Linked DNA regions of Chlamydomonas reinhardtii. The protein of the gene in region 2 interacts with the protein of the main gene of each other region in a pairwise test. Links are inferred from orthologs where the notes say so. Each region holds a gene or a part of one and is shown on either strand. Other genes may lie near its edges.

Region 1 (4,342 bases), on a different chromosome or scaffold from region 2:
CTCCCTCGCCTCCCTAGTCGTCGTCGTCTCCGCCGCTGCGGTCGTGCAGCAGCACGTACTCGCGGCTGCTCTGCCCGAACCGCACCACGTCCTTCTCCAACAGCTCGTAGTAGCGCAGCGGCTCCACCTTCTCGCCTGCAGGCGTGGAGAGGGTCCAAGAGGAGGCCCAGGAGCAAAAGCCAGGTGGAGGCTTGGAATGGTTTGCCAGTAAGGCCACTGCGTCTATCCATAGGTGCCGCACCCTGGACTGCTAGTCCCCCAGAGCCCAGCCGCAACCACTCATTCCCAGCCCGCTCCAGCCCCTCGCGCCAGCCCTCCTCCTCCCTATCACCTCCGCCCCCACGCTCCTCCCCCTTCCCACGCACCCATCGCCCCACCGTTCAAAAAGGTGCCGTTGATGGAGCCCAGGTCAAGCAGGTACGGCCGCACCGCCGCCGCCGGCCCCACAGCCAGCCCGTACTCGTCAAAACCGCCGGCGCCGCCCGCCTTCTCCGTAAGCCGGAACTGCAGCACGGCGTGCTGCTTGGAGCAGGAGGGGTGCGCGGTCACGATGTCCGCCACTGTGAGGTCGCGGCCGAACAGGTAATGGTCCATCCTGGAGGGGAGGTGGGGAGGCAGGAGGGAGGGGAGGCGGGACGCGGGAGGGGTTGGCCGCGTGACGGACGGGGATGCTGGGGTACGAAGGAAAGGGAGTAGAGCCCCGGGTAGAGCGGGCGCTAAACAGGCCAAAGGTGCACGAGCAGGGGTGAATGGCGTGAGGGGCGAGGGAGGGCGAGATGACGGCAGGGAGCATGGTGGTGTCCGTGCAAACCCGTATCCGCATATCGTATCGGCTGGCAGAGGAGGTAGGCGCCCACCAGTGGCGCGACGGCTTCCCGGGCAAGTCGAGCGCAGGGCCCCACGCATCGTGCACACGTACGACATGCGCCGCACCTGTGTATGTGGTAGGGCTCGTCCTGCAGCTGGTCGTTCTTGAAGATGTACAGCCGCCAGCGCTTGTCGGGCTTGCGCGCCTCGGCCGGAGGCACATGCTTCAACACCACGCCGCCCGCAACCTGCCATTTTCACATGCAGGAGGTCGTTGATTCCATTCACACAGATGAGGCCGCGGACCCGTGGTTCCACTCGTGGTTCCACGCGTCCGACCCTCAGCCCCATGTACGGGCATACAGTCTCTTGTTCCGCACAGCCGGGGAACTGCAGGGTGTGACAGCAACCTGCTAGCCCCACAAGCGAATGCCCTGCTGGCCGAACCCTCGCCCAGACGCACCTTGTTTGTCTCAGCCGCCAGCTTGCCGGACAGACCCAAGTTGGGCTGCTCCTGAGGGTGTCAGCGGGGGCATGTGCGCATGGCAGCATCGGCGTGGTGGCCGTGTAAGTGGTTGTGCAGGGCCGTGGCAGTACATGTCTATGATGGCCATTGAGCACCAAGGTCAGTGAGCAACTTGCAGCAAGACAGTCCTGTTTGCCATGGCCACGTGCCGCCTGATGCAGCATGCGTAACCCCCGTGATGCACTACTTGCGCCGATGCTGCCCACATACACTTGCCTTGGGCGCCTTGGGCTTGGCCGCCTCCTCCGCCTCCCGCTCCTTGAACTCCCGCTCCTCCTTAGACATGTAGCGCGAGTCGCTGCCACCACGGCCCCGACCGCCACCACCCCACTCGTCATCGTCGTCGCGGCCACGCTTTGGCCCCCGGCCCCGGCCTCCACCCCGGCCGCCGCCGCGACCGCCGCCGCGGCCCCCGTCGCCGCCGCCTCCACGACGGTCCTCATCATCCCATTCACGCCGCCCCCCAAAGCCGCCGTCACCGCCACGGTCGCCGCCGCCACGGCCCTCACCAGCCGGGCCACGGTCGCCGCGGTCGCCGCCGCGGCCATCTCCAGGCGGGCCGCCGCCGCGGTCGCTGCTGTCGCGCTCCCCGCGGTCCCACCCTCGCCGGCCCCCATCAAGGCCCTCATCCCGCCCTGCACCGCCGCCACCACCGCCATAGCGTGGCCCGGGCGCATCCTCGTGCGCCGGCTCCTCCTTCACCGCGGGCCTGGCGCTGCCGCCGCCGCCGCGACCGCCGCGCTCCTCCGGCTCCGCATGACCGCCGCGGCCGCCCCGGTCACGGCCCGTGTCTCGGTCGTGCTCGTGTTCCCGCTCCCTGTCACGGCCGTAGTCCCGCTCCCGGTCCGCATCCCGGTCTCGAGAACGCCCCGCCTCCCGGTCCCGCGGCTCCCGCTCCCTGTCGGCGCGGCCGTGGTCGGCACGGTCCCGCGGCTCGCGGTCCCGTTCCCGGGCGCGGTCGCGATCACGGCCTTGGTCCCGCGGCTCTGGCGAACGCGAGGGTCCCCGGCGGCGTCGTTCTGCGATGCGGGAGGTGTGGTTGCAGATTAACGGTGGCAGCGCAGTGAGACGTGCGGAGTGGGCCAGCGTGGGCCGGTCGCCAGGTGCTGTGCTCTGTGGGGTGAGCTGTCTGACAAGCATGTTTCAGATGTGATGCAGGCGTGGCGTGGGTGCCACTGTCATGGCGCCACGATAACACCCGCCACGGTGTGGTCCTGGCGAGGCTGGCTGAGCGCCAGGGTCCCGGTCCCCTGACCCGGTCACGTCTGACCTCCGTCGCGCCAGTAGCCTGAGATCTGCTGCTATACTCACCATCACCCATGGTGATTGTTCCACAATTGCAGCCCCAGCTAAGCTGGAACTGCTGTCAGCAGCAATTCGCCCGCGAACTCCTCTGCCGCACCAGCACAGGGTTACCGAGGCATGCTAAGAGTACCAGGAGCTAGAAATTAAACGCTGGTGAACCAGTGCGGGCAGTCAGGGCCTGCAAGTGGCTCAAGTCCGAGGCGCAGCGTCTAGATAGTCGAGGGCGTTGCTTAGCGTTAGTGTATTGATGTAATGTTGTATCTCTATGAGCGCAGGGTCAGTGTCTGGCCTAACTTTGACTTCATGGATTGCTCCGGTTTCTCAATTTCGGATTCACCGTAGCTGCGCCACCCAAAGCTCTTCCGGTATTAATACCCTAGTGATTATAGTTAACTTAACTGAAGTGCATATCGAGAGGACGCACCGCAGTTGCGCTTGGCATTTGGGTTTCCTCTCCTGTTAAAATCATACGGCGAAGGCATGATTACTGATGTAATGCTCGTATGATGTAGTAGTGTGATGTAATCGAAACAGGGGGTGGCTCTGACAGTGGCCTGAGGCCACGCGGACCTCTCGGCACACAGCAAGCTCCCGGAAACCCAGCGGCCGTAGCCCCGGCGCTTCTGCCTGCCCCTAGCGATGCCGGTCCTCCAGCCCTGCAGCAAGGCCCTGAAGCTCGGAGTTGGGCTCTTCGTTCTCTCCCTATTCGTGTGGCAGTTACTGGAGTCGCGGCACGAGCAGGTGCGGCACCGGCATGGTGGTCACGCTTTGGCTTGCGGGGCCTACTGCACAGCCCTGCGAGGCTTTGCAGAGGCCCACGTTACCCCATACCGCACCTCTCCCCTCCCCCGCTCGCGCCTCTCCAGGCTGTAACAAAGCTAAATAAAACATCTCTGGAAGCCCTGCTGCAACACCTCAAGTCTGAAGAGCTTGTGCGACGACAGTTGTCTCCAGGCGGGCCGCATGCCGACCGTGCTGGCGGCCGCCATCAGCAGCCCCACCACGCCGCCTTCCATTTCGTCAGCTCCGGCCTGGTACGGCACATGGCGGCGGCGCAGGCTCGCATGCACGTGGAGCGAGCTATGAAGCTAGCTGCAGCTGAGAAGCGATTGCGCCTGGCATTGGAAGTCTCCGAAACGATCACTTCTTCGGGTCGTGCAGTTGGTCTGGGTTCGGCCGAGCGAGGGGGCATGGAGGCGGCGGTGGCAGCGGCTGGGGCGGCGGCGGAAGCGCTGGCTGCCCTTAAGGCGGCGCACGCAGCCGCTGAGCCGCCCGTGACCTTTGGAGTCCAGCTGTCGTGCGGCTCTGCGAATCACTGTGGGCTTTGGCAAGCCCACGGCCCGCAAGCTGCTACTGCTCCTGCTACTTCCGCTTCCGCATCCATGCTGGCGACTCGCGCACCGCTACCTGCTGACGCGGAGCCCGGGAGAGGACCGCAGTCTTGCACCATCAGCACGCAAGAGGCAGGCTGTCCTGCTGGAGGTGCAGCCGGTAGCGGTGATGCAGCGGAAGGCCATGCTTCCGAGGGCGACCCGGCGGCAATGGCGGCAGTAGCAGGACGTACCCCTGACGGCGGTGCTGATGTGAGTGGCGGCGGGACGGAGGGCTTGACGGAGCCGCCGCAGTGCCCAGTTGCTGCTGCGGTCGTGGCAGCGGCGCACCATGACGATAGTCCTGAGGCGGGCGCCATGGCAGCCGCTGCGT
Region 2 (4,161 bases):
TAGGCGGCGAATAATAGGCATCCATGTTGCATGGCAGGCATTGGGATGGAATGGAGCGGCGTCTCCCGCGCTCTGCAGCACGCCACGTGGCACCTGCAGCGGCAGTGGCAGTAGCAGCGGCTGGGTGGGTGGGTCCCGGCATGGAGCCGCCGTCGTGCGGGTTAAGCCTGCGGAATTCAAATTTACGTCGGCAGACAGGCGCAGGCGAAGCGCACAGTTGAAATGGAGGAGCGAAGTAAGAGCGGGGGCTGCAAGGAGCAGGGGGCGAGCGGTGCGGTAGGCTGCGTGGTGCATGGTGCAGCTCTTACAGAGGGGGTTGCAGAGGAGGTGATCTGCATTGGGAGGTCGGGCCCGGTCAAAGCCAGATGGTGGCGTCAGGACAGGCATATAGCCTGTAGAAGCTCGTGCAAGCCCCCCTCCACTGCGTGCTGTGAGCTAGCCTTTTTACCCGCCACCAGCCTCAAGCCTCGGGCCTGCTGCTCATGCCTTGGCTCCTGCCAGCCCTGTCGGCAGCGTCAGGCAACGGCTCTTTGCTGGAGCGCACTAGGTGGTGGTGCTGGTGGGTGGCCGACAGCTGACACGCAGGCAGTCAACTTGACTAGAGCAGTTGAGCCTGGGAGCCACAGCCCTATCAACGCTTCGGGATTGTTTGCCTGTGACTCTGCCGCTGCAATGCTGCACGACGGCACACGATATCATACCATTCCTGACGGCAACGGTTTGCAAGGGTTTACAGTGCACACAGCATCAAGACTACCGCAGTGAAAGCAGCGCACTGCGACGCCTACTTTGCATCAGTTGCGTGCTCATGCTAGGCCGCCCGGCTCCTCAACATACATCCGCGGCCCAAAGCCTACACGAGTCAAGGCGCTTAGGATAATCTGATCGCGATCCAGTCATCGGTATCGCCATCCCTTGCCGTTGCGTCCTCAGCACGGCAGATACCGTATAACACCTTCCACACGGCGCTTATAGCTGTAGCACGGCGCTTATAGCTGTACCTCTCCGTCCAACAACCGAACGCCTCCCAATCGCCATCAACCCCGACGAGCGCTTGGTCAATGCTTTGCAGCCCCAGCGTGAGCTGCCTGGCAAGCAAGCACCCATACCGCTCCGCACCTCGTCGGCCCCGCGCCACACGAGTGCCGCAGTAGGCACCGTCCGCACCTACCACCGTATCCGATAATGTACTGGTCAGTACCACTTCGCACTAGACCTGCAGGCCCCCACGCAATCCTGCGTGCCCTTAGTACCGACGCCGCCGCATCGCTGCACACAATCAGCTGCGCGTGCACCACAACAAGTCAGGCCCTGCGGGCTGCTCCCCACCCGCGCCCTGCATGTTTTTTTTATCTGTCATACGCATACACATGCGCGGGACCCCTGCCCCAGGGACCCTGTTGGCTCTCCTTTGCGTAGGTTTCGCATGCACCAGTCCGGCCCCTTCGCTGTGATGAGCTGTCGCCCACACCGTCACCCGCCCAGCTCCTTAGCTTCTGCCGTACAAGCGCATCACCCACTCGCCTCCGTTATGCACACTGCATTGCGTTGCCATGAGTTCTTCGCGCCTCGACCTAACCACCCGTGGTAACTGCCCCTCGCCCTCCTGCTGCCCCCAGCAACCGCCGCCAGCTACTGCCGCCAGCTACTGCCGCCAGGTACTGCCGCCAGCTACTGCCGCCAACTACTGCCATGCAGCGCCACATCAGCAGGCGCCGTCGCCCTGCAGCTCCGCCACCTCCACCAGCTCCGCCATCGCCACCAGCACTGCCAGCAATGCGCTCAGCTGCCGCGGTAGGTGGAGAAGCCGTAGGGGCTGAGCAGCAGCGGGATGTGGTAGTGCTCGGACGCCTTGTCGGCCGTGATGATGAACTCCACTACCACCTCGGGGTAGAAGGGGACTTCCGAGTAAAATGCGGGGTGCGCGGCCTTGCAGGCGCCCAGGTAGGCGGCCGTGTCAAAGAACATGCGGTACCGGCCGGGCTGGATGTAATTGCCCGGCGGCAGCAGGTTGCCGACGCGGCCGTCCTCGTTGGTGACGCCCTCGCCGACCGTCTCCCACACCTTGGAAAGCTCGTCCTGGCGCGACAGCGCGAGCGGCAGGCCCTTCGCGGGCAGGCCGGTTGCTGTGTCCAGGACATGCGTGGTGATGGGCGAGCGAAGCGGCGCGCCGCCGTGCCCGGGCGCCAGGTGCGTGAGGACCTGCTCGGCGCGGCGCGCCGCGCGGTCCGCGGCGTCGGGGGGCAGGGCGAACAGGCCCGACAGGCGCAGCTCTGTAATCTTCATCTGCTCCGCCGCGGCGGTGTGCAGCTCCTCGTGGGGCAGGCGGTTAAAGCGCTTCTTCAGCGCGGCCAGGATTTCAGGCGCGGACCTGCCCTTCGCGAAGATGATAAAGATGAAGCCGAACTTCTCCAGGTAGCGTTGGTTCCACTCCGTCAGCTCGGCCTGCACATCGCCGCTGAGGCTGGAATTGGAAGCTGCTTGCTCGTTCCTGCTGAAGCCCGCGAACGCCTCCGGCTTTCCCTCCATGCCCTTCTTGTCACCAATTTTAGGGTGCGCTGCAAGGGCCTCCAACCATCCCGGCACACCAGTTTGCGTCCACCAGATACGCCGTGCTGTTGCGACTAGCGCGTCAATATCTGAATATGGTGCGTGTGCAGAGAGCTGCTGCGCAAATCGGGTTGACGCGCAGCAGCTTATCGCCTGCTCATAGGAAACTGCGAGCGCCATTTTATGGCTTCTTGGCTCGCTGGCTACGTCCTATCTAGCTTGATTGGGCGCAACTAAAGAGATGTCAATCTGTCAGGTGAATAACAGACAAAGCGAGTGCACACGTGCCTGGATTGAAAGCTTGCTGCAGGACCATCCGCGCCATAGATTGCCGAGCCTAATGCAATGTTGCTCAAACTGTATACAACTTATGATCCTGCGCGCACACTGCCAGTCCGCTTTACCTATAAGTGCCGTTCACTCGCGGGACATTCGCGGTTGCACCGACCTCGCGTGTACCGCAGCGCAAGTCCCCCGGTCCCTTCTGTCCCGCCTTCTGGGCCAAAAGGGCCAGAAATTCACGAGCACGGAAGAGGACCGTCCCCCATGGGTGACTGCAACATTCACCCACGCAGCGATGCCGCCCGCACCTGGAACGCTGCTGGCATGAGGATCCACAGCCCCCACCTGCGCCAAAGCTGGTGCTGGAGGGGCCTGGGCAGGGGAAGGGGGCAGGGGGCGAAGGTGGCGGGCAAGGCAGCGGTCCAGTATGGCAGCGGGCCGGGGGGGGGGGTATGTGCCCAAGCCCAACGGAGTAGGTTCCAGTAGTCAAGGAGGTTTCCCCTAACCCAGGGGGAAGGTAGGCGTTCATGAGGAACGGAGTGGGGCGGAAGAGTGGGAAGTCTGTGATCCGATGCTGCCACTGGGTCGCCCCACCTGGCACATCTCGCGAAGGCACACAAGTGCGCTCCTATCCAGGGCAGGTACCGTGCTGCTCGCCTGGTCACCGGTTCAAGGTCCGGGCAAAGAGGTAAGACGGCCGGTATGGCCGATCTTGGGGGTGATCCGGCGGGTCGCTTGGTGTCTTCGACATCGCGCGCGAAGCCGCATTCCACCGCGCAGCAGCTCAGTAGTGATTCAACAGGTACACGCACGGCTGCACGGAAGCGTAAAGTAGCATGTTGCGAGCGTTGTGAGGAGCGCGCGATCCACGTTGCTTCCAGGTTTACTGCCCTTCGCTTGCCCGTGCAGCGGTGGTGCGCGATGCCGCCTTCTAGGTGCCACAGGCTATTGTCTGTCCGCACCGGCGCCGGCAGCAGCTCCGCCTCCTCGCATCAGGCCGAGCCGAGCTACGAGGAGCGGGTTGCGCGGGTCTGCGCTCTGGGCGGCCGCGTGCACCAAGCATTTCTGCTGCAGCAACAGCAACAGCTCACGAGTGCCAGTGGTAGCAATGGGAATGCAGACAGCAGCGGCGGCGGCTCAGGCGGAAGCAGCAGCAGCTCGCACGCCGGTGCTGCTGCCGCGACCGCCGCCGCGACCGCTCGGGGCTCTGGCGGCAAGGGCGGAGGCAGCAGCCGCAGAGCAGCATCAGGCGGCGGCGCAAGGGCGGCGGCAGCAGCAGGCGGCGGCGGTGGAGGGGCGCCAATGCCGCTGCCTAGAGCGGCGGAGCTG

What was found.
Region 1: the proteins of CHLRE_17g735950v5 (region 2) and CHLRE_09g390430v5 interact in binary tests that used the Arabidopsis thaliana proteins (3 or more experiments, as listed by UniProt). The link is inferred for Chlamydomonas reinhardtii from reciprocal best matches to the Arabidopsis thaliana genes TTL and DDL.

The regions. Positions count from the first base shown.
Region 1 is NC_057012.1:3,643,350-3,647,691, reverse strand, and holds the start of CHLRE_09g390430v5 (uncharacterized protein), read right to left. Parts: upstream 2,939-4,342; 5' UTR 2,655-2,938; coding exon 2,645-2,654; intron 2,353-2,644; coding exon 1,550-2,352; intron 1,322-1,549; coding exon 1,271-1,321; intron 1,056-1,270; coding exon 934-1,055; intron 596-933; coding exon 378-595; intron 136-377; coding exon 14-135; 3' UTR 1-13. Other genes in the region: CHLRE_09g390356v5 (uncharacterized protein), read left to right, coding at 3,278-3,379, 3,505-4,342. UniProt on the Arabidopsis thaliana protein: Involved in the microRNA (miRNA) and short interfering RNA (siRNA) biogenesis. May facilitate DCL1 to access or recognize primary miRNAs. Binds RNA non-specifically.
Region 2 is NC_057020.1:5,235,545-5,239,705, reverse strand, and holds CHLRE_17g735950v5 (uncharacterized protein), read right to left. Parts: upstream 2,877-4,161; 5' UTR 2,731-2,876; coding exon 1,783-2,730; 3' UTR 719-1,782; downstream 1-718. Other genes in the region: CHLRE_17g735900v5 (uncharacterized protein), read left to right, coding at 3,754-4,161. UniProt on the Arabidopsis thaliana protein: Involved in the last two steps of the degradation of uric acid, i.e. the hydrolysis of 5-hydroxyisourate (HIU) to 2-oxo-4-hydroxy-4-carboxy-5-ureidoimidazoline (OHCU) and its stereoselective decarboxylation to (S)-allantoin, a major ureide compound.